Arabidopsis thaliana: one gene and its partners. The protein of the gene in region 4 interacts with the protein of the main gene of each other region in a pairwise test. Each region holds a gene or a part of one and is shown on either strand. Other genes may lie near its edges. The genes, in order: KCO1, HDA05, IDH-III and GRF8.

Region 1 (5,497 bases), 3.6 Mb from region 4:
GTAGTTTTTTCTAATACTTAATTTTATAATTTTATATGTATATAGAGTGCAATTTCCCTAATATAAACAAAAAACCAAACACATAGTACTAGTTTTGTTTCACAAAGCACAACGCAACATTTTCGTCTAGGAGTTTCACGAATGAGTAGCTGACACGTGGCTGAATACCGACCATCGATAGTAGATTACAAAAGTATCCCTAACATCTCCTTCTCCGCCGTGTCAATCGCAAACAATCGAATCCGGATCCGATCCGATTCGCCTCAACACCATCATTATTTATCTGTTTCCCCCTTTTCCCAAGCTCTAACATTTAGGGTTTCGCGAAAAATCAATCAGGTGAAAAATAATCGAATTATTGTAAAATTGATACATAAATTCACATTCAAAAGCCAAAGAGCTGAGAAATTATTTTTTGTAAACTGTTGGTCCTTCGGAGAGTGTCCATGAACGTTAGTCTTCAATGGATACATCTGTAATGCAGACGAATCTTCCCAAGGTAGAAGACAATGATGAATGGGGTAAGTAATTTCGCTTTAATCGATTCAGTTGCATTTCTTTATTGAAATTAGGGTTCTTTCGTGTTTATGTGATCGGATTCAATCATTCAAATTTCTGTATCTTCTTGTGTAATTACAAATCTTGAGTCGATCATTTGATTGGTGGCAGACACTGATGGGTTTGTGATTCCGAGCTTGGAGATTGAAGAAGACAAGGTTAATAATAATAATGATTCAGAAGTTGAAACATCAAAACCTTCTTCTCCTAAGGTTAGTGATTGATTTCTTACGTACAAGACAAGTTTCAAAAAAATGTTGTTAACTCTTTATCTCTCATTGTATGATTTTGTAGAGTAAAGCTGAAGAAAACATCTACTTAGGACCACATGGAGCTCCTCCTTCGCAGCTACAAGATGGTGGTAGTAACACATCGAGCCGCAAGCAGCGGTTTAAGCAGATGCTCAAGGAAGCAGATCAGAAAATGAGCGGCTCTGGTCGAGAAAACAAAATGGCTAACTTAAGAGAGCTTGTAGGCGGGGGTGCAGGTGCAGAGAAAGGAACTAATATGGGAAAAGGTGTTTCAAGAGACTGGCTTGACCCTCATTGCCATGAATCTCAGTTCGAGAAACGACGACTTCCATAACGCGAGAAACCGCTATCTTTTGAAAATGTTTTGTATCAATCAAAATACCAAAAAAGTTTAAAGCAATAAAACAGTCTTCATACCCTGTCCTTTGAGAGAATCATCCATGAATTCTTGGTCATGGAGCATAACACTAGAGAGCTTCATATGTATAGATGTATGTAAAATTATACACTCAGCATCAAGAAACGATCAAAGAGTTAGAGTGTGGCATTACATTACAAACACAAACAGGAAAAAACAAACAAAATTTCGAAAAACTGTTCACTCTCTTCGGCTTTTTGTTGTGTGAAGGTATAACTAAACAAAGATTCTGATTCGTCTTCGCAAGATGATGATGATGATGAGGCTTACCTTTGAATCTGAGACGTGGTCTGAGCTAAAACGATGTCAGAAGTCGTGAGAGTTCCTGATTCATCGTAATCAAGTTGCTCGAACTCATCCATTATCCCAGAAATATCTTTCTCATCAATCTTACCCATTTCTTTCAGTTTATACACAATAAACTCTGCAGCTCTGCAACACACAATAGACAAAAAAAAAAGAATAAGAAGAGGAAGAAGGAAACAGAAGATAGAATATGTCTGATGTCTTTCTTACCCAACAACTCCATCTTCATCGAGATCAGCTGCTTCGAGATCATTGTTTGTGATTCTTCGCGTTAAAACCCATTTCACCAACGCCCTCTGTTTGTTTTCTGTATTTAGCTCAGCTACATAAAGGAAAAACTGAGCCAAACATATGCTGCTCGTCAAGATCCAAAACACAGCAAAAAGGCGTCCGGCTTCCGAGTTAAAGCTCTTATCTCCATAACCCAATGTTGTAACCGTGGAGCAGACGCAGTAGAAAGCTGAGATAACCGGCATTTTCTCAACCATTACAAGGAAAATCGTGCCAACAATGAAGAGGACTACAAGGACAAGGCATGTAGCATAGCATTTGTATCTCAACTTGTTAGTATGCAACTCCTTGAGAATGTCTGTTGGACCAAAGCTTTGACGCAAATGGAAAGCCCTAACGAGCAAAGCCTCTTGTTTCTCCACTAGATAATCCGCCGCTCGACTTAAGAGGTGACCAACGAGGACCATTCCCGAGAAGACGAAGGCACAAGCAAGTAGCCTTGAGGCGGAACTATTAGGGACAAGGTCACCGTATCCAACAGTTGTCATCGTTACTATACAGAAATAGAGAGCATCTACCACACCACTGGTTTTATGACCGGAGATCTGGTCTCTCACGAGGTAGAAACAGAGCGTACCAATGGTAAGATATAAAGCCAAGAACATGATCACTCGCCTGAGATTCGGGTTTAGATCACTGAACATTGGGATTTTACTCGGATGAGGAGGTGGTTCGTCGATTTTGACATCATCATTGTACATACAATCACCACGAGGAGCACTTCTAGAGCGACGCAATCTTCGTTTTCTTGAAGAAGAAGTTCTTGAGTTCAGGTTGAAATCTTGAGCCATGGTATCTATCTTCTCAGTGGGTAACAATGGCGTACGAGCTGCATCACTCGACATTTCTAGACTCAAACCAGATTAACTATGAGATCTGCACAGAACAATCAAATCTCATGTTTATGTTACGAAAACCATCGCCAAAATTGACATCTCCTGTTCTGAGAAATGAACATATGTATCAAAAAATTTGAATTTCGTAACAGAAACTTGTCAGAACTTAGATACAGATTTTGAGTTATAGCTAAAGATTAGACCTTTAGACAATGAAAAGATGAGTTTTGTGAGAGTAATCAATCAGACACAGAACACGAACTGAAGGAGGAAGAAGAATTGAGACATACCCAGGAAAGTAAGATCGAAATCAAAAGAAGCGGTGTTGTCGGATCTCGCAATTGGTCTTCATTGATGATGTTCTCACAGTTGGCCAATTCTTGTTTTTATTTTATTTTAATTATCTTCTTTTTTTTTGGTCAAAATTTATTCTCTTCAAATCCGATAATTTTGTTTTTATGATCTTCTTCATTTTCTTGATAGGATTTTTCATTAGTATCTTAGTATAAAAATGTTTTGTTTTGTTTTTTAAATGTTTTTTTTCATATAGAAGAATGTATGTAATGTCTTAATTTTCTAGTTAGTTTTCTATCCTTCTGTTTTTTTTTTGTGCAAATCTAGTAATTAGTTTTATATTATACACTCATAATCACAAGTAATGTACAAGCCAATAAGCCAAAATATCCAGCATGACGTCATGTTTAATCTATATCATACAATAATCTATATGTTTTATGTTAATGTCAATATGTTAAGATTTTTATAAGTCGATAAATCACATTTTTTTAGTGTTATACATGACATCAAAGATGTTATTAATGCACTCATATGATACATATATATGTGAAGAATTGCATACTTCAAAACATCCCCACACACAAAGAAATATAACACACACTAGTATTTGACATAGTTCTAAAACATTACTAAGTGATTGATATACATGGTAATTTGACATAATTTTAAAAACATTCAACCACTCGAGTATAGGCTCATTGATATGCATGTGGAGAGCGATATAAGATCATTCAACACCAACATAGACCATCTAAAGCTGATCAGGCCAGAGAAATGATTCAATTGCAAAAACCCTCTTGTCTTCAAGAGATCCTTCAAAGGAGAATCCATATTGTTTGAGGAGCAAGTCAAGGCGGAGATCATCCATAACTTCGTAATCAGACTTGGAGTATTTAGGGTAGTGAAGAGGGACTTGGAATCCACTTGGGAATTCTTCTTTCTTCATCATCTTTATAATTTTGTTGCGGGTGCTTTGGCAGTTGCTGGCTTGATCCATATGGTTCGAGTAGCCGAACATTTGGGTGAAAGCCGATGTAAAGAGCAATTTCATTTCCATTGTCTTGGTTGATTTTAAGATTTTATACAAAAAAGGAAAGAAAACGAAGGTTTGAAATAGAGAGAAAGAGTAGAGAAGAAGAAGAAAGAGAAGCAAGGAAGCTTAAGACAAAATACCAAAAAAGGAGAAGCTTGAGACAAACTCTAAGGCAAGCTCGATGTTTGGTTATAGTAAAGGCGACCAAAGACTAGTATATATATAGAGGCAGGCAGGTAGGTCAGTAAGACAATTATTATTTGTCTTTTCGACATGATAATCGTCATTTGAATTTTATTTTTATCATCAAACTATAGTATGTAATATAAGATGTACTAGAAATTATTTGTTTTTGTTTTTTTAATTAAACAAAAGTATGATTATAACGAGTAGTTCTTGTTCTAAACCAAACCAGTAAACCTTTTTCCTTTTAATGAAAAAAAAGTATGATCATAAATAACAAAATGTGAGAACGACGGCTGTGAGCTACATGCACCAGGAAACGCATCGGCCAATGATGGTTCATGCATTCATGCACTCATTATCTTAGGTGGGGACAAGTATAAAACAGTTGTGGTGTGCAAGGAGAAAGTAGGTGAAAGTATTTAATATTTATATTAACTAAAAATAACATACTATGTTTTTGAGGTTATATGAGTTTTGGTCTTTCTTTTTAATTTAAAACCATTTTTATTGGCATTTTTTGCGGAATACCTTGTATATTCTAGGAAAAAACACTTTTTATATAAAACAGTTAAGATTATGATATAATTAACAAATTTTTAATAAAGAGAGAAATTAAGAAAGAAGAAGAAAAATGGCCATGATAAATACAGTAGTTGGTTTTACTATTCGGTTGGTGATCCTTTTGTTCATTTTGATAGGTATGAATCTCACCAACGCTTCCATATACTTTTTTCAGTTTTGTTCAAATCATGAATCCATAAGTTTAACATCTTAATTAAGAAAATTACCTATTAAATTCAATATGTCAAAAGCATGCAAAAGGAGAGATATTCTTTTTTTGCTTTGATTTTTAAAGTTTGATGTATATGTTTAGATTTAACAATACAAAACTTTTTTTAAAAGAAAATAATATTCTCTTCATCCCACAAAGATAAGTTTTCTAGAAATTTAACATTCTTTAAAAAATATTTTATAATGACAATTTAACATTCTTCTAATTAACTAACAAGAACACCCAATCTTTTATGTTGCTTTTTATTTCTTATGTATTGTTCTGTTCCTTCCTCTCTCACTTTATTCCATCCTCTGTTTTGTGGATTGTATGGTATCGGGATACTAGAGGCTAGACAACTTAGGAGAATATATTTTCTGTAACAATTTGCTAATTTTCTTATTACCTAAGCTCTGTTTTGTGTAACAATTTGCTAAACAATTTTTTTGTGTGTGGATTACACTCATACAACAGAAATGGGTGTGCAAATTAATAATAAGCATGTTAAACTCTACCAATTTTGACTCCCACGATGAATTTTACCGGTTT
Region 2 (7,658 bases), 1.6 Mb from region 4:
TATTCTCTGTTCATAGGTATGTATTTGCAACCTCTGTCTATTCTTCTTTCCAAACTACTTTTTCACATGATCTTTGTTGAGGTTTAAAGTGACTGGAAATGCATTTGTGACTAGGCATGATCACGGAAGTTTCTATCCATTTGGCGATGATGGAGACTTTAACATGGTTGGCGAAGGTCCAGGTGAAGGGTTTAACATTAACGTTCCATGGGAGCAAGGAGGATGTGGAGATGCAGACTATCTTGCCGTATGGAACCACATCTTGATCCCTGTGACCAAGGAATTCAAACCAGATATTATTTTGCTTTCAGCTGGATTTGATGCAGGTTTGTATGGTCTAACCATTTGTTTCAAGGCTTTGTGACGGTAAGCTGTGTGTAATCTTTTCAACTTCTTCTTAACAGCTATTGGTGATCCGCTTGGGGGTTGTTGTGTTACCCCATATGGATATTCAGTTATGTTGAAGAAGGTTGGTGTTGAAGTGAACTGCCTCTTTTCTCCATTGTTTCTATTATGCGTACCATGGCTTCTCTACCATTGAAAATAACAAAGCTACATAATTTTACTTGGATATGACATCATTTAATTGGTTTCTCTCAGCTGATGGAGTTTGCACATGGAAAGATAGTGCTGGCATTAGAGGGAGGATACAATCTTGAGTCATTGGGAAAGTCTTCACTCGCATGTGTCCAAGTTTTGCTTGAAGACAAACAAATTCATGGTTCATCTGAAACATACCCATTAGAATCTACACGGCGTGTCATACAAGCGGTATGGCTCTATATAACCCTAACAGTCTGAAATTTTGTATGAATTGGCTACGATTTCTCTTTTCAGCTCAGTTCTTGTGTCATAAATATTGTATATCGCCTATGTTACTAATTGACAAAGCTCATCTGTTTCTTGTGGGTTTAGGTACGCGAGAGACTATGCACATATTGGCCTTCACTTGACGCGTCAATGGCGTCTAATGAGAATTTAAAGAACCCAAGTGCAGAAAGAAACTCCGCTGACGCCCTCCTTCGTGAAGTGGAAGAGTTAAAGTCTCTAATGGCTGCCCGAGATGGAGAACTGGAGGCAAGGAGAAAAGAGTTAAAGGCCAAAAATAAGGAGCTAGAAGCGAACGAGAAGGAGCTAGAAGCGGGACTAATGTTGATTCGCGCTCGGGAGGATGTAATCTGTGGTCTTCATGCAAAAATAGAGAGTTTGCAGCAGGAGCGAGATGAGGCGGTAGCGAAAGCTGAACGCATAGATAAGGAACTCCAAGAGGATAGGGCAAGAAGCCAGGAGTTCAAAGAAGACACAGAGTTTTGCTTGAGTACGTTAAGGAGGGAGAAGGAGCTTGCCATCATGGCCAAAAATAAGGACCTAGAAGCGAAAGAGAAGGAGCTAGAAGCGCGGCTAATGTTGGTTCACGCTCGGGAGGATAAAATTCATGCCAAAATAGAGAGGTTGCAGCAGGAGCGAGATGAGGCCGTAGCAAAAGCTGAACGCATAGATAAGGAACTCCAAGAGGATAGGTCAAGAAGCCGAGTTGGGAATGGATCTTTTGCCTTTTCTCAGGAGTTCTATGAAGACATGGACTTAGACGAGCTCGAACCTCTGTCTCCGGAGTTCAATGAAGACATGGACTCGGAAGAGCTTGAACCGTTTCAGGTCATCAAGAAAAACATGGAGCGTTCCCACAAGAAGTTCATAAAAGATATGGAGTGTATCAAGTTTATCGCCAGTGAGAGAGCCAGGGTACTTTAGGTTGGGAGCTTGAGGCCGTAGCAGAAGACTACCACAAGTTTCGCGAGATGGTTGATAAGCTCGGGAAGAGCAACATATACCCTTCTTAGAAAGTACAATGGTGTTTCATTGTAACCACAGAACCTTTTTGTGATTGTAAACCAACTGTGTCGTGTCAGACTTTGATTGGTTGCGATACTTGGTTTCCCAATTTCCCTCCAAAGAATCTCCAAATTGGTCAAACTCTCAAACCTAAAAAAAAAAAAGGAGAGAATGAAAAAAAGAAAGAATTGAAAAGTAAAAAATACTTGGAAGCTTTAGAAGCTGAGAGCAAAGACTTGACCTTTTTCACTTCCTTCTCACTGATCGTCGAACAATAAGGCCGTCGCATCTCCCAGTTATGGCTATGGCCGGAGAATCTTCCGGCAAAAAAATTGGAGACTGTGACGGTAAAGTCGCGGGGAACAGACAGCGAAAGGTGGGTCTTATTTACGACGAGACGATGTGCAAACACGACACACCTGACGGCGAGGATCACCCTGAGTGTCCCGACCGCATCAGAGTTATCTGGGAGAAGCTTCAGCTCGCCGGAGTTTCTCAAAGGTTCATACTTTCTCTCTTCTTCGTGCGGCTTTGTTGTTTGTTTGATAATATAAGCCCTAGAAAATGCTCAAATTTAGTCAAATTGGGTACTTTCTGATCCTGTCAGCTGAGAAACTGGTCTCAATTTGTTCTTCCTTGTTCGGTATGAAATTTACTTTTCTCAATTTGAATTGTGCATTTCATAGAATCAAAAGGTTTGTATGCTGCTCAATTTTAACGGTAACCCTTCATAAATTTGCTACCTTTTCGTTATGTTCGGTCTTGTGTTCGAGTTATTTCCTCCATGTCTGTTTTATAACCCTCTCTGATATCAATTTTATATTTTTCATATTTGTTTGAATTTCACTCATAACATTATTAATTAGAGTAATGTGGCAGCACATTAGTTAGGGAAGGTGGAATCTAGTCTTTGAGGTGTGTATCCATCACGATTTGTTTTTCGATTCGGATGAATTGGCCTGCTATGTATTGACGATCTTGGTCTTTTCTTTTGCAGATGTGTGGTTCTTGGTAGTAGCAAAGCAGAAGATAAGCATCTCCAATTGGTTCACACAAAGGACCATGTTAATTTAGTTAAGAGTATTAGCACAAAACAGAAAGATTATCGGAGAAACAGGATTGCTTCACAGTTGAATTCGATTTATCTGAATGGAGGTTCATCTGAAGCCGCATATCTTGCAGCTGGTTCTGTTGTAAAGGTAATAATACTAGTTGATTTGTTTCTTTTTACAATAGGAGGATACATTAGAAACTGTTAGAATGATTTGATTGAATATGGGGTAACAACATTTTTCTTTCAACTTGACAGTTGGCAGAAAAAGTTGCAGAAGGAGAGTTAGATTGTGGTTTTGCTATTGTCAGGCCCCCAGGGCACCATGCTGAGGCAGATGAAGCCATGGGTTTTTGTTTATTCAACAATGTTGCCGTTGCTGCTAGTTTTTTACTAAACGAAAGAGTAAGGACTTGTACTGTTTGCTTTTAATTACTGTCAAATTCTTTGGTCACATTCCTTTGGAGTGCGTGTTCCCAACTTCTTTGCTTTTCCTGAATGCAGCCGGATCTAGGGGTCAAGAAAATTCTGATCGTTGATTGGGATGTCCATCACGGAAATGGTACCCAGAAGATGTTTTGGAAAGATCCTCGTGTACTATTTTTCTCTGTTCATAGGTATGTAATTGTGACCATTGTTTACTCTTCTTATGATGTCGCTTGTCATGATTTAAGGAGCCTACTTTTTACTCTATTACCCCTTTGCTTGATTTTTACGCTTGGAAAGTAACTGGAAATGCATTTTTGGTTAGGCATGAGTATGGGGGTTTCTATCCAGCGGGTGATGATGGCGATTATAACATGGTTGGGGAAGGTCCAGGTGAAGGGTTTAACATAAATGTTCCATGGGATCAAGGACGATGTGGAGATGCAGATTATCTTGCTGCATGGGACCATATCTTGATTCCTGTGGCGAGGGAATTTAACCCGGATGTTATTTTTCTTTCAGCTGGATTTGATGCAGGTAAACATGGTTTAAGCATTTTTTTAAGCTATGTCTTGTTCAGAGGTGTGTAACCTTTTCAAACTCCTCTTAACAGCTATTAATGATCCGCTAGGGGGTTGTTGTGTGACCCCATATGGATATTCAGTTATGTTGAAGAAGGTTGGTGTTGAAGTGAACTCCCTCTTTTGTCCATCATTTGTATTTGCGCTCCAGGGGTCTCCATCATTGAAAATAGCACTTCTTGCTTTAGCTGGTTGTTTGTCCCTGAGCTAAATAATAGAAACTTGCATTTAATATCATTCTGTTTCTCCAATGTTCTCTCAGCTGATGGAGTTTGCACAAGGAAAGATAGTGCTGGCGTTAGAGGGAGGGTACAATCTTGACTCAATTGCAAAGTCTTCACTTGCATGTGTCCAAGTTTTGCTTGAAGACAAACAAATTCAAGGACCTCCGGAAGCATACCCATTCGAGTCGACATGGCGTGTCATACAAGCGGTATGGCTCTATATCATCCTATCTTTTAACTTTCTTATTTCACAATCTGAAACAACCTTCCATAAATGGGCTGTAGTCCTCATGTTACTAGTTGACCAAAACTCATCTGTTTCTTGTGGGTTTAGGTGCGCAAGAGGCTATGCACATATTGGCCTTCACTTGCAGATGAATTATCGTGGAAGCTAATTAATCAGAAAACTCCTACTCCAGTTGAGCACCCTTCTTTTTGTCTACCATTTCAGTTGTTCATTGTTCATCAGAGAGCGTTTCCTTGCCAGATCGGATTTAGAAAAACCTCACTATTTTTAGCAACCACTTCTTAACTTCTTTGTCTCTATACAAATTTTCCTTTGCTTGATCTTCTTTTTAGGCGACAGACTCGGTATTTCTTATCACATAATTTCTTTCTTATTTGTTCACTATAGATCATCCTTATCTCAAGCTCCGACTCTGAAACTGAAGACAACGCCCAAGGACTCCTGGATCAAATGTCGAAACTCAGCATTGAAAACCCTCAAGGTACACTACTTGAAAACCACCAAGTAGAACCTGCATCTACATCTTGGAGAGCTGATCTCGCAAAGGTTGACGTTTGGTATGCCTCTTTTGGATCCAACATGTGGAAACCAAGGTTTCTTTGCTATATTCAAGGGGGACAGGTAAGTAACCTGTTTTGTTTTGTTTTCGGGGTCGAGTCTGGGCTTTGGTCTAACTTGACACATCTATGGCTGTTTGTGTTTATTTTTAGGTCGATGGATTGAAAAAGGTATGTGTTGGCTCAATGGATAAAAGTCCACCAAAGGAAACAGTGTGGGAAACATTTCCACATAGATTGTTCTTTGGCCGTGAATCTTCAGTTGGTTGGGGTGTAGGAGGAGTTGCTTTCACCAACCCCCTTGCTAATCTCATTGATCAAACTCACATGTGTTTGTACCGTATCACGTTAAGTGTACCACTCTTCATCGCAGTTTCCGTTCACTTTCCCTATTTTATTCATTTGGTGATCTTCTCTACTTATTCACTATGGATGTTATTTTTGTGAACAGGCTTGAGCAGTTCAATGACGTTCTGTCTCAAGAAAATGGTTTGAATGTGGATTCAGATTCTCCGGTCTTTGATCTAGCTGCTTTGCAGTTAGTAGATAACAAAGGATCCATTTTAGAAGCTCCTTTGGTTAGTCAGATAACAAATGTTGATTGATACGCTTATAAAACATGTAATAATCACACTTATACTCGTTTATTGACATTTTTACAGAATAGTTGGTATGGAAATGTTGTCTGCTTGGGAAAAGAACGCGACATTCCTATACTTACAATGACGTAAGTTTTCATCATTCTTTTTCTTTTGCTGCTCATAAACCGAGTTAAACAGCTTTCATTTTTTTTTTCCTGAGGTTTCTCAATAACTTTGTGTTTGCAGTTGCACGCTTTCCGCTGTTGAGAAATTCAAATCCGGTGAGATCCCTATAAGACCTCCTGCAAAAGCTTATGCCAACACTTTAATAAGGGGACTTGTGGAAGGAGGAAGATTATCTAAAGAAGAAGCTGAGGCTTACATAGACAAGGCTGTGTCTAAACCTCTCTAGTGTATAATTATTTACTCAGAAACCGCCCGTTTGAACACGATTTGGAGCTTCGGGTTTCTGAGTTATTCAATTAGGATAAAAACCACAAGTTTAGGAATATTGTGAGACCTTTGAATTTGTCTTTTGAAAGAGAGGACTGTGTCCTCTGTTAGCTGTGTTGTGCTTGCTCCCTAAGCAAACTCTCAATGTATTTTAGTTATCTTCGGGTTTTAGGCTTTACCAAGAAGCTGTATTCGGTAAATGTATTAAAGAACCCTCCAAACTGCTTTATATTGACCGGAGAGAAACATTCTTATTCTTCGGAATGGTACTTTGAAGTTTGAAGAGTTATTTTAAAAAAAGATTTAACAGCACTGTGAAGAGTTCTGGTCAAACAAACCTATTTAAAAAAAAGAGATTGGAAAACATGTATAAATAAAAATTGAAACGTAAAAATACTTTGAAGCTTCAGAAGCAAAGATTGGACCATTTCTCTTTTTTCTCCCTGCTCGTCGAACGATAGACTCTCTCATCTCCCGCATATGGCCATGGCCGACAAAAAATATGGAAACTGTGACGGTAAAGTCGCCGGGAAAAGCCAGCAAGGTACACTAGTTGAAAAGGAGCAAGTAGATACCGCTTCTACATCCTGGAGAATTGATCTCGCAAAGGTTGACGTTTGGTATGCCTCTTACGGATCCAACATGTGGAAACCGAGGTTTATTTGCTATATTCAAGGGGGACAAGTAAGTAGCCTTGTTTCGTTTCTTTTTGGAGTCTGAGCTTGTGTCTTAATTGACACATCTATGGCTGTTTGTGTTTATTTTCAGGCCGAGGGAATGATAAAAGCATGTGTCGGTTCAATGGACAAAAGTCCACCAAAGGAAATAATGTGGAAAACATTTCCACATCGATTGTTATTTGGCCGTGAAACTTCAATGTTTTGGGGTGTAGGAGGAGTTGCTTACACCAATCCCCTTACTAATCTCAATGATCAAACTCACATGTGTTTGTACAGAATCACGTTAAGTTTCTTCATCTCCGTTTCCGAGTTTTCTCTTTTCATATATCTGATCTTTTCTACTTATTCATTATATGGTTGTTGTTTTCGTGATCAGGCTTGAGCAATTCAACGACCTTCTGTTTCAAGAAAATGAGTTGAACGTAGATTCTGATTATCCGTTCTTTGATCTAGCTGCTCTGCGGTTAGCAGAGAAGGAAGGATCCATTTCACTTCAAACTGCTTCGGTTAGTCAGATAACAGATGGTTATTTAATAGGAACATGTAGTAGTAATCACACTTGACCCCTATATTGACATATTTTTACAGGATAGTTTGTATGGGAATGTTGTCTGCTTGGGGAAAGAAGGCGTCATTCCTATACTTACATTGACGTAAGATTTCATCATTCGTTATTCCTTTGCTAGCTCAGAAACAGAGTACTTAAACTGCTAAGCGGATGCTCTCTTTCAACTTTCATTTTTTTCTCAATAACTTTGTGTTTTGCAGTTGCACGCTTTCTGTTGTTGAGAAATTCAAATCGGGTGAGATCCCTATAAGACCTCCTGCAAAAGCCTATGCCAACACTTTAATAAGGGGACTTGTGAAAGGGGGAAGATTCTCTATAGAAGAAGCTGAGGCTTACATAGACAATGCTGCGTCTAAACCTCTCTAGTGTATTCAATTAGGATTAAAAAGAAAAATAAATCACAGGTTAAGAAATATTGTGAGACTTTTGATTGTGTCTTTTGAAAGAGAGGATGTGT
Region 3 (5,322 bases), on a different chromosome or scaffold from region 4:
GTGGCATTGCAAAACGTGCATTGTTGTAAAATCTGAACTAGTAGGTTTTCAAAATCTAGTCTTAAGCTTCAAACGAAACATAACATTAAACATTAAACATCAAACAAGATATACAAGAAACTATCTACTTTCTCGTCTCTGCAACATCTTATAAAGAGAAATGCTAAGCAAATGAGAAAAGGTTCTAAGGTAAGAGTTTCTCAATGCCATTCTCAAACGTTTTAAGAAATTTACAGGAAATCAAGAAAAAGTAAAACAGAGCCATTTCTTGGTTGGTTTAACGCCGTCTTGTTTTCTCTGTGAAGGTGCCTTGCTAGAGCTCCGACCTGTTTTTTTATCCTCGCCGGCTTTACTAAATATAACGGTGAATCCCTCTGCCGTCGCCGGATCATTCACATCCCATTCTCCGAATTTTGGCAAAGGCCTTGCGTCACTATTCGATGCCATTTCAATCTTCAGGATCAACAAATCAGAGCAAAATTTCTCAAAAACAAATTATTTTCTTCCTTTTATTGTTGTTCTTCTTTTTCAATGACTTCTATTCTGAGATCGTTCTAATTGATCAAAAGATGATGGACTCAGGGTGTATTTTATAGTTGGAAGATTTCAATAAAGCAGAAACAGAGAAGTTTTGTTATGAAATGTTCCTACGGAATGTACTCGTATGAAACACGGAGACAAGATATTTCTCTTTACGCATTTCTTCTTAAACATTCTGAGGTTCAAAATCTTTGGTCTTTGCGCGTCATACCCTGTAAAACCCTAATTATAGCAAAATGCTTCTTATCCATGACTGCTCTGTTTTCTTATTTGGTGCTACTGTTATCTTTGGTTCTCTACATGCTTGTTTAGTAATCAGAGACCTTATATAATATCCTCCTGGTCAATGAGTTCAACAAATCTAAATTTGTATCACATTTTCTTCAAGTCATTTATTATGCCTTTTTTAACAAGTAATTTGATTAGTGTTTTTACCTAATTTTGATGCAAAAAGAGTTCAAAATCTTGCTTGATAAACAACATTGCTTCTGTCTGTCCTTATTGATTTTATTTTATAACATAGAGCTCATGCTCAAACGTGAGATCGGATATTAATCAAAAAGAGAACAAAAATGAATCAAGAAACAAAAAATAGCAACGCAAAACAGAGAAAACCAACACTTTTCTCTTAGTTGAAATGAAAAAGACGAAAGAAGAAGCAAGCAGAAGCAGAGAAGCTCACATGGTTTCACTCAAGAGCTGCTATGACAGCATCAACAACTTCCTGCGTGGTACAATCTCCTCCAAGATCTTTTGTTCTATATTTTCCTTCTTTAATCACTTGTTTCACTGCTGTTTCAAGCCGATCAGCAAAAGTAGGAAACCGGAGATGTCTTAGCATCATAGCCGACGAGAGAAGTAGAGCCACCGGATTCGCTTTCTTCTGTTCCACCATCTTATCATTCCCCACATTCCCTGCTGATGCACCTTGCTCGAATATCGCATGTTCTGCACCAACATTCCCTGTCCCCAACAAACCCAAGAAACGTCATTTTACGAAAGATTATAACTGTAACTATTATATTTATTTGACAAACCTCCTGGCATCACTCCAGTGCCACCGGCTATTCCAGCCGCCGTGTTTGCTATAAGGTTACCATACAAATTAGGTGTCACCTGAAACAAACCAACAAAAAATATCCATGAGAGACATCAAAACAACATCAATGATGGTTTCATCGTCTGTCACATTTCAAAATGACTCATTTTGATTTGTAACTAGGAAAAGAAGAGCATTACCATGACATCAAATTGCTCAGGCTTGGCGACAAGCTGCATACAGCAATTGTCTACGATTATTTCATTGTAAGTAATCCCCGAATAATGTTTAGCAACCTCTCTACAAGATTCAAGGAAGAGCCCATCCGCAAGCTTCATAATGTTAGCTTTATGAACAGCAGTCACTTTCTTCCTATTGTTTAGATACGCATACTCAAATGCATATCTCGCTATTCTCTCAGAACAAAACTTTGTTATCACCTACACAAACAATTCAACAACATCATGTATACAAAAGGGATCACAATTTGGACTAAAAACAATCCCTATAATTATATATGGTTTACCTTAAGGCTCTCGACAACACCAGGAACAACCTCATGCTCGAGACCTGAGTACTCTCCTTCAGTGTTCTCTCTTATCACAACGATATCAACATTTTCGTGTCGCGTCACTAATCCAGGGACATTGATGCAATTGACAAGAGAAGCGAAGATATCGAGTTCTTTCCTCAATTGCATATTCAAAGAACTGACACCCCCACCAACAGGAGTCGCTAATCCACCTTTGAGACAAACCTTGTTTCTCTTCACAGACTCGATCACTTCTTCAGGGACTTTTCTCATGTTTCCTAGAACCTCGTATCTCTCGAAATGCACTGGCGCGTGCATCGCTTCCATGACCTGTTCCACCGCACCGGTCACCAAAGGTCCGATTCCGTCGCCGGGAATTAGGGTTACGGTTCGTGGAGCTCCATCTCCGGGTCTAGGCATGTAGGTGATGGATCGGGACAGTGATGTGAATGGAGAAGGAGGATTCGCCAGAAGGCGATTAAATATCGAAACGGATCTTCTCGCCATTGCTAGATTTAGCTTCTTTTAGGGTTTCAGAGCAACGAAGGTCGATTTCGTTTTCGGCGATTTACATGCAGCGTTTATGCCTTTGTCAGTTTTATTTTATTTCTTTGGCCAATCAGCTTTATTCCAAAAAAAATTATTTTGTTCAATCATTTTTTTGTAATTTCTAAAATAATATTTTGTAAAAAAATGAAAATTGTTTTATGATAATATAAAGAAATGTTTTATTGTAGCCTAAAGTTCACGTCCACTTCGTGTGTGGTACGTTTAAAGTAATATAGATAAAGGATACTTCCAAATAGTTTTGGATTCTCTTGCAATGGTGGTGGTATTAAGAACTTGGACTGAATCACGGTCACACGCATTACAAACAAGAGCAGAGAGAGAGAGACCACATCTGATTTCGCATGAAACATTCCAAAACAGTGAGGACAGAAACACAAGACTTCAGTTTTACTTTTTTTTTTCTTTTATCTTTTTGACTGTCGCTACTTCGATTCCAACACAATCAATCACTGTGTTTAAAAGGGTTTCTCAGTTTCCTTATCATTAACCTTTTTTTTATCATCTTCTCTACACTCTTCACCAATAGCTTCACTCTTTTTGGTCATGGCTTGTATAAACGGCGAGAATCGTGATTTTTCTTCCTCGTCATCTTTGTCTTCTCTTCCAATGATTGTCTCCCGGAACTTTTCTGCCAGAGACGATGGAGAGACCGGTGACGAGTTTCCTTTCGAGAGGATTTTCCCGGTTTACGCTAGAGGAACCCTTAATCCCGTGGCCGACCCGGTTTTGCTGGATTTTACCAATTCTAGTTATGACCCAATTTGGGATTCTATAAGAGAAGAAGCTAAGCTTGAGGTTTTCTCCTTATGCTCCATAATCATATTCTTATTATTGATTTATACGTTTTTCATATATGTGACTTCAATTCAACAAAGACAGAAACTTTGATATTGTTAATCAACTTCGATTTTCTACATTGAAAGGTTATGATAATGACATTCTTGTGTACCTTTTATATCAATCCGACAAAACCGTGGGGTCGAATTCTCACTAAATGCTTTCTCTGTCTCTTTAACTACTTGATTAAAGCTTTTAAATTTTTCTTGCTGTTACGTATTTCTCTCACCCGTCTACTTTTTCAGCGTCAATTTTTCATTAACTACACGAAGGACAAGTTAAGGAACAGAGTTTGTGTGTGTTTATGTTCCTTTAATGGTGAATATTGTTGTGTGTTTTACAGGCAGAAGAGGAGCCGGTTTTGAGTAGCTTCTTGTATGCTAGTATCTTGTCGCATGACTGTTTAGAGCAAGCATTGAGTTTTGTTCTAGCTAACCGTCTCCAAAACCCTACCTTGTTGGCAACTCAGCTTATGGATATATTTTGCAACGTTATGGTACATGACAGAGGTATTCAAAGCTCGATTCGTCTTGATGTTCAGGTAAAAACGCTATCTCGTATCGGTGAATCTTCCTTTTGACACTGATATTATTGTCTGAGAATGTGACTGCAGTGTAATGTTTTTTTTTTTTGGTCCATTGAAGGCATTCAAAGACAGAGATCCTGCTTGTCTATCGTATAGTTCGGCTATTTTACATCTGAAGGTAGTCTCTTAACCATCATAGTTGCTGATTTAAAGACAATAACATCTCTTACACCGATATAAAATGATTGCTAAGTGAGTTTTCATGTGTATTTTACCAGAATAGTTTGTTCCACAGGGCTATCTTGCACTGCAGGCGTATAGAGTAGCACATAAGTTGTGGAAGCAAGGAAGAAAACTATTAGCATTGGCACTGCAAAGCCGAGTAAGCGAGGTAAGAGTAACTTCTACAACTTCTTTGGTTACTGTTATAGTCTTGGTGTACAACGTTAACCTCTGATCCATGTCAATGGTTTCTCTCAGGTTTTTGGAATCGATATTCATCCCGGTAAAGATTTTAGATTCATAGCTAATAGCTTGTCTATGCTTTTACATCTAGCATCTGAATAACTTTGGTTTCTGTTTTTTTTGCTCAGCTGCAAGAATTGGGAAAGGAATATTGTTGGATCATGGAACTGGTGTGGTCATAGGTGAGACTGCTGTGATAGGCGACCGTGTCTCAATTTTGCATGTACAAATCCGTTCTCTAACTTCATTTCTCCAAAACTATAAAGAACTGTTGATGTTATAAATGCTAGCTTATATTTTCATGTTACAGGGTGTGACATTAGGAGGAACTGGGAAAGAAACCGGTGACCGCCATCCAAATATAGGCGACGGTGCTCTTCTTGGAGCATGTGTGACTATACTTGGTAACATTAAGATAGGCGCTGGAGCAATGGTAGCTGCTGGTTCGCTTGTGTTAAAGGATGTTCCTTCGCATAGGTATGAAACCACTGACATGCATCTAAATATCAATCTCGTTGAGCTTTTTTGTTTGAACATTGCTCAAATTGACATTTTCTCTCGGGCGTTTCTGAAGCATGGTGGCTGGAAATCCAGCAAAACTCATCGGGTTTGTTGATGAGCAAGATCCATCTATGACAATGGAGCATGGTGAGTCTTGATTGTGAAAATAGTATTCTGATTTTGTTCTCCATTGCTCAGGCTTTCGTAGTGTGCCAATATGCTAGTTGATTGAATATGCAGATGCTACCAGAGAGTTCTTTCAAAATGTAGCTGTTGCTTATAGAGAGACAATACCAAATGGTAACTTACTTT
Region 4 (5,612 bases):
ATGTAACTCAAACCTCGCATGAAAGGTGGGGAAACGAGGCAATGAACTTGTTGAAGTGCTTGTCCCGTTCAGAGTCCTTCCTGAAGTTCCAGCCTCAACATTTCGTCTTTCAAATTCATTATGTGAAGATATATTGTTCCGCACACCACAAGCTTCTGCTTCCTGTAAACATGATAATCAAATCAGAACATATTTAGAAACGGTAAAGGAAAACGAGAGACAAGGGGGTAAAAAGTAAGTACATATGAAACTTCAGTGCTAGTAGCTGAGTCAGATAAATCATCAGCAGCACCAAAGACCTTAGCACCATTACGTCCAAGTCCATTTTGAGCTGCGACGTGAGGCAAACCAAGATGAATTCTATAATCTTGAGGAGAGTGTTGCCTCTCGAATATCTCTTCATCTGAATCAGAAGCAATGTCCATGTCTGAACTTGAACCACCATTGTTATTACCTCTCACGGGTTTAATTGATGAAGACAATGGAGGAGCACTCCTGAATCCAAAACCATGACCAGAATTGGCATTGGGAACAGACTTAGCATCCAATTTCCGATTACCAATCGTCCACCTCGAATCAACATCCTACAAAACAAGCATTAGTTACAGCAAAATCAAACAACATCGAAAAATGCAGATAAAGTTTTTGTTCGTACCTCTCCTATGTTTCTTAAGCCAGCTTCCCTGAACATTGCTCCTTACCTTTTAACCTAAATTTCAGAAGAAAAATTATCAAAATTTTCATTCACATTCAACAATCAAATCTCAGTTCTATAATGAAATCCCTAAAACATAGCAACTGAAACGAAATCAAACGAAATCAAACGAATCGAAGGCTACAAAAGCGAAATTCTAGTGAAAACGGCAAAAAGAGAATGTAGCAAGAAAGATGAGAATTACTTTTTCTCTCTTTCACGAAATTCACATGAAAGAAAGCGAAATCGTGAACGGAAACTCACAAAATTGAAGAATCGATCTACTTCTCAATGCCAAAAAATGTTAATGCATTAGCTTACTTACACTGCCCAGAGAAGACTCTTCGGAGTTTTTTCGTTTCTTTTTTTCCAGTGAAAGAGTCAACACAAGTGTGAAACCAGAAATTTTTCCAGTAGAACAAACTGGTTAAATTTCTTCAAATTGACTACAGGTGGAAAATTCGACCAGTGACAGTCATTGGACTCAAATTTCACAATGAAGAAGAAGAAAAATGGAAGATCGATTGAGGAAGCTCTTATATTTCTTTCTCTTTTTTTATTTAATCTTCCTTTTTTTTTATGTAAGTTTAGTAAAAATTGCGCCACCATAGGAAAAAAATATATACGGTGAGAGCGGAGAAGAAGAGCGGCGTTGGATGGAGACGTCAATTAACGGTGACGGCGACTTTTATTACGCTTAGCGTAAAACTGACGTGGCAAGTGAAGATACGCCCTTTCTTTCTCCCATAACGGCAACGTTATGCGCGCGTGACGGTGCGTCTATCAGAGAATCAATTTGCATTACATTAGTTTTGGAGAATTTAGGTTTTGTTATAAATTAGTAAGAACTACGAGTGTATACAGATTTTTGTTAACCCAAATAATCTAAACAACTTTCCAGTATTAAAAACATGAGTAATCGATTTCTTCAGATTTTTCGATCTAATGATTTGGTCGCATTTGATTAACCAACTCTTTATTATTTTGTTTTTCATGCCAAACAAATGTCCTGCCGGATCTCAATTATCTCATTTGACTAATCAAATTAATATAGCATAATTTTCATCAATTCTCATTTATTGAAATTTACAATGAATCAACAAATAAAAACCCACAAAAAACGAATTCAATTAATTTGATCCGGTCTTTTAAATTTAAAGTATTGGAAAATGAAAATAATTAATTTTCTTTAATCAACAATATAAGAAATTAAAGAATATGAGTATTGACCAAAAGAAAAATTAATATCAACGAAAGAAAGAATTTGGACAACTTTTTCTTGTCTTCATATGCCTTTTCTCCGACCACATTAGTTGTGTCCAGGTCACGCCGAAAACGCATATGCTTAGCCAGCAAGGTAATAGCTTTAACAGGCTTCAAAAAGCCCATCTAAAGCCTAATCAAAAGCCCGTATTCTAACATTTGACCTTGAACAGTGTCAACTAGTTGGGGAAGCTGACGCACTAAATTATTATCGTCCATTCACTCGCTCTTATCAAAAAAACCGAAACCTAGCCACGCGCCTCGTACACTCAACGTGGGTTTCACGCTGTTAATCCTTATTTCAACTAACGACGTCGTTTATCAGAGTGTGTTAATCACGCGCGAGTGAAGAGAATTTCCTTTTACAGCTCATTATGACTCGGCTTTGAAGCTTTTTATTCTTCTTCTCAATTTCTTTTTTTCTTCCAGAAATTTCCTCCGATTTCAAAATTTTCCGGTGAAATCGAAAAAAAAAGCGAGATCTTCTTCTCTAATGGCGACGACCTTAAGCAGAGATCAATATGTCTACATGGCGAAGCTCGCCGAGCAAGCCGAGCGTTACGAAGAGATGGTTCAATTCATGGAACAGCTCGTAAGTGGAGCTACACCGGCCGGTGAGCTGACCGTAGAAGAGAGGAATCTTCTCTCGGTCGCGTATAAGAACGTGATTGGATCTCTTCGTGCGGCATGGAGAATCGTGTCTTCGATTGAGCAAAAGGAAGAGAGCAGGAAGAACGAAGAACACGTGTCGCTTGTTAAGGATTACAGATCTAAAGTTGAGACTGAGCTTTCTTCGATCTGTTCTGGGATTCTCAGGTTACTTGATTCGCATCTAATTCCTTCAGCTACTGCCAGTGAGTCTAAGGTTTTTTACCTGAAGATGAAAGGAGATTATCATCGTTATTTGGCTGAGTTTAAATCTGGTGATGAGAGGAAAACTGCTGCTGAAGATACTATGATCGCTTACAAAGCTGCTCAGGTATATCTTTGATTCCCTAAATCCTTGAATCGATCCTGTTGTGGAGCTAAAACCCTATTTCTGAGATTACTTCAATTAGCTAATCTGTAATCAGTTGTCTCATAATAAGTAAATTGGTCTCGAATCTAGCTATTGTATTGATCCTATCGTTAGAAGTAGTCAACTTTTACTATTTGGGCTTAAGATCAATTGCTTCCCTAATATGTCTTAGTAATATATAATTGTTCTGAAAATATGTATTTTTGCTCATTCGTGGGTTTTTGTATTGAAGGACGTTGCAGTTGCTGATCTAGCACCTACACATCCGATCAGGCTTGGTTTGGCTCTTAACTTCTCAGTGTTTTACTACGAGATTCTCAACTCTTCAGAGAAAGCTTGTAGCATGGCGAAACAGGTACTCTTTCTTCATCCACTATACTGCATGTTTGTTTCAAGTAGAGTTTCTCTGTCTGATCATCATTGTCTTAAGTTTGGTTAGGGAGAGTGTAATTTGCATTTTGAGTTACTAACTTGACCACTTGTTTTACTATTCCTATTGGCCCCATCTTGTATTCATTGTGTTGGGTTGATTTGAAGGAATTTTGAAACCTTTACCAGAAATAGACAAGTTGTTTATAAAAAGTAACTCTTTCTTCTTTCTGAACGGACCCACTTCTTTTTAATAAACAGAGATTCTAAAGAAAAAGACATTCTGCAAAGTCCTCTTTTGATATAACTTTTTTGACTAACGCTTCACATTAACCAAATTATTCCTTTTGTCAGTAGAATCTCTTAAAATGACAAGACTTTAGAACCACAATATCTCATACATTATGCATACGAGATTGTGTAGAATCTGATCGGGGTTTTGGTGCATATTGAATCCGGAACATCTCATGCATCACATATACAAGATTCTATAAGACTATTAAAGCTCATCTTATCATCGCATTTCTAACTTGTTCTTGTTGGATTCATCACCTCTAGGCTTTTGAAGAAGCCATTGCTGAGCTGGACACATTGGGAGAGGAGTCATACAAGGACAGTACTCTCATCATGCAGTTGCTAAGGGACAATCTAACCCTTTGGACCTCCGATATGCAGGTTTGCCCAATTCTATACTTTCATATTCAATTGCATCATCAGAAACTCGCATATTGATAGTCTTATAAGATTATTCGGATAATAACACCCCAAAACTCAATGATCGACTGCTTTATTCAGGAGCAGATGGATGAGGCCTGAAGGTCTAATGGAAGAAAAGACGGTTATGTAATGTACCTGCAACCGTAACCGAAAATCTGAGTTCAACCTCCTTTGCTGTAAAACTTGTCGAAAAGAAAAGTTTGTTTTTTTATGACAGATTATGTGCACAGCTTTGGTGTTATCTGCTGCTCTGTATCAACTCTGTTTTTGTTTGGTAATTTATCCTCATCTTTGCTTCTTTTCTTCTCAAAATTTTATATTTCAAACAAAGTAACAATATCTTAGCTTGGTTTGTGAGTTCCTCGAGACTGATGAAACGCTTAGTGTAGCGTTTTAGATGATTTCGCTTATGAGTGGTCAAGTTAACGGTTTGGTTTCAGTTCAGTTGTTTTCAAGAATTTGCTTTCTAGTAGTAGTATTATGTATAATTGAAACTCGTATTAAAAATCGGAGAAGTAGCTGAAACAAAAAAAAAAAAAAAAAAAAATCGGAGTTTAGACAACCTAAATCATCAAGAGTGATCATTATAGAAGACTCATAAATCAATGGAAGACAAGTAAATGCGTGATGACGATTCAAATTTTCATGAGATTACAGAGATATAATACAACTGTTAAATGAAAAAAACAAATAATATTTTACCTGAGAGTCTTGAGCGTAATTACGATTTCCTATATTGATTTGACTTGAGAGTTGAGAGTAGGAAAATATGAACGTTGTGAAACGGTAACATTTTTTATGAACGTTGTGAAACGGTAACATTTTTCGACCGTTTGATGTAATATTTTTTTTGTAAGAAATTCAGATTATGAGTCTATAAGTACTCCTTTCTTCGTTCAGAAATCTGAATTCTCTTATTCAGTTTATATTCTTACAAATGTCGAACACACTCTGTTTTTGTTCTTTTAGTTCTGTTCTCTTCTGTTCTGCTACTTGAGTTCTCGTTCTCACTCGAACTTAATGCTCATTAGCCGAGGGAGAAACGAATTTTTGAAGGCATATAAAGGTAAAAGTCTCTGCTCTAATAATTAATTCCTCTAGTTTTCCCTTTACCATTAGAAGATTTCTCTGTTAATTGCTGTGTTTGTCATCTTCCATACATGTTTTATAGAGTTCAACAAACATTAAGATGCTCTGTTTTAGCTGTCATGACTCTGTTTAGTTAGTGTAGTAAACTATTTTAGTTATATATGTGTGTCTTCAATTATATATATCATGTTGTGAGATCAATTATGTGTATGGTATTCTGAGTTTTATATATGTTCTGTACTAGGAAAACTGAATGGTTTTTTAATATTTGTGAAAAGCAAAGACATAAAAGGTTTTGTCTAAAAAGATTTTTGGATTTTTATAGTAAGCGTACTAATTATACATGAAGCAAAATTGTTGACAGCGGAAGATTAAAGAATTGTAATGAAAATTGATCTTGATTAATTTTGCAGAGTGGTAGTGAAGGAAACAGAGCATATTGGGCTGTGTCCAGAGTTTTCC

What was found.
Region 1: the proteins of GRF8 (region 4) and KCO1 interact in a two-hybrid assay, tested with the Arabidopsis thaliana proteins (one study listed by BioGRID).
Region 2: the proteins of GRF8 (region 4) and HDA05 interact in a protein complementation assay, tested with the Arabidopsis thaliana proteins (one study listed by BioGRID).
Region 3: the proteins of GRF8 (region 4) and IDH-III interact in a two-hybrid assay, tested with the Arabidopsis thaliana proteins (one study listed by BioGRID).

Annotation. Positions count from the first base shown.
Region 1 is NC_003076.8:22,528,890-22,534,386, reverse strand, and holds KCO1 (Outward rectifying potassium channel protein), read right to left. Parts: upstream 3,030-5,497; 5' UTR 2,951-3,029; exon of another isoform or gene 2,701-2,950; 5' UTR 2,670-2,700; coding exon 1,744-2,669; intron 1,660-1,743; coding exon 1,494-1,659; 3' UTR 1,265-1,493; downstream 1-1,264. Other genes in the region: AT5G55640 (Na-translocating NADH-quinone reductase subunit A), read left to right, coding at 464-521, 670-770, 853-1,143; AT5G55620 (uncharacterized protein), read right to left, coding at 3,709-4,014. UniProt on the Arabidopsis thaliana protein: Voltage-independent, large conductance and potassium-selective tonoplast ion channel. Regulated by cytoplasmic calcium and pH. Does not mediate slow-vacuolar (SV) ionic currents, but essential to establish VK currents.
Region 2 is NC_003076.8:24,565,391-24,573,048, reverse strand, and holds HDA05 (histone deacetylase 5), read left to right. Parts: upstream 1-2,057; 5' UTR 2,058-2,131; coding exon 2,132-2,334; intron 2,335-2,830; coding exon 2,831-3,032; intron 3,033-3,142; coding exon 3,143-3,289; intron 3,290-3,388; coding exon 3,389-3,501; intron 3,502-3,635; coding exon 3,636-3,847; intron 3,848-3,923; coding exon 3,924-4,000; intron 4,001-4,153; coding exon 4,154-4,324; intron 4,325-4,449; coding exon 4,450-4,533; intron 4,534-4,749; coding exon 4,750-4,983; intron 4,984-5,072; coding exon 5,073-5,266; intron 5,267-5,370; coding exon 5,371-5,497; intron 5,498-5,581; coding exon 5,582-5,646; intron 5,647-5,746; coding exon 5,747-5,912; 3' UTR 5,913-6,266; downstream 6,267-7,658. Other genes in the region: HDA18 (histone deacetylase of the RPD3/HDA1 superfamily 18), read left to right, coding at 1-16, 115-326, 405-469, 601-771, 916-1,752; AT5G61050 (histone deacetylase-related / HD-like protein), read left to right, coding at 6,434-6,637, 6,722-6,915, 7,010-7,139, 7,222-7,286, 7,402-7,567. UniProt on the Arabidopsis thaliana protein: Responsible for the deacetylation of lysine residues on the N-terminal part of the core histones (H2A, H2B, H3 and H4).
Region 3 is NC_003075.7:16,905,880-16,911,201, reverse strand, and holds IDH-III (isocitrate dehydrogenase III), read right to left. Parts: upstream 2,706-5,322; 5' UTR 2,619-2,705; coding exon 2,106-2,618; intron 2,020-2,105; coding exon 1,780-2,019; intron 1,657-1,779; coding exon 1,578-1,656; intron 1,504-1,577; coding exon 1,229-1,503; 3' UTR 994-1,228; downstream 1-993. Other genes in the region: AT4G35655 (RPM1-interacting protein 4 (RIN4) family protein), read right to left, coding at 241-447; SERAT3;2 (serine acetyltransferase 3;2), read left to right, coding at 3,225-3,476, 3,862-4,059, 4,163-4,222, 4,340-4,435, 4,525-4,549, 4,638-4,732, 4,820-4,986, 5,084-5,157 and 1 more. UniProt on the Arabidopsis thaliana protein: Performs an essential role in the oxidative function of the citric acid cycle.
Region 4 is NC_003076.8:26,147,094-26,152,705, reverse strand, and holds GRF8 (general regulatory factor 8), read left to right. Parts: upstream 1-2,229; 5' UTR 2,230-2,450; coding exon 2,451-2,936; intron 2,937-3,207; coding exon 3,208-3,330; intron 3,331-3,902; coding exon 3,903-4,076; 3' UTR 4,077-4,139; coding exon of another isoform or gene 4,140-4,160; 3' UTR 4,161-4,324; downstream 4,325-5,612. Other genes in the region: AT5G65440 (uncharacterized protein), read right to left, coding at 14-162, 243-584, 656-691. UniProt on the Arabidopsis thaliana protein: Is associated with a DNA binding complex that binds to the G box, a well-characterized cis-acting DNA regulatory element found in plant genes. Involved in the regulation of nutrient metabolism.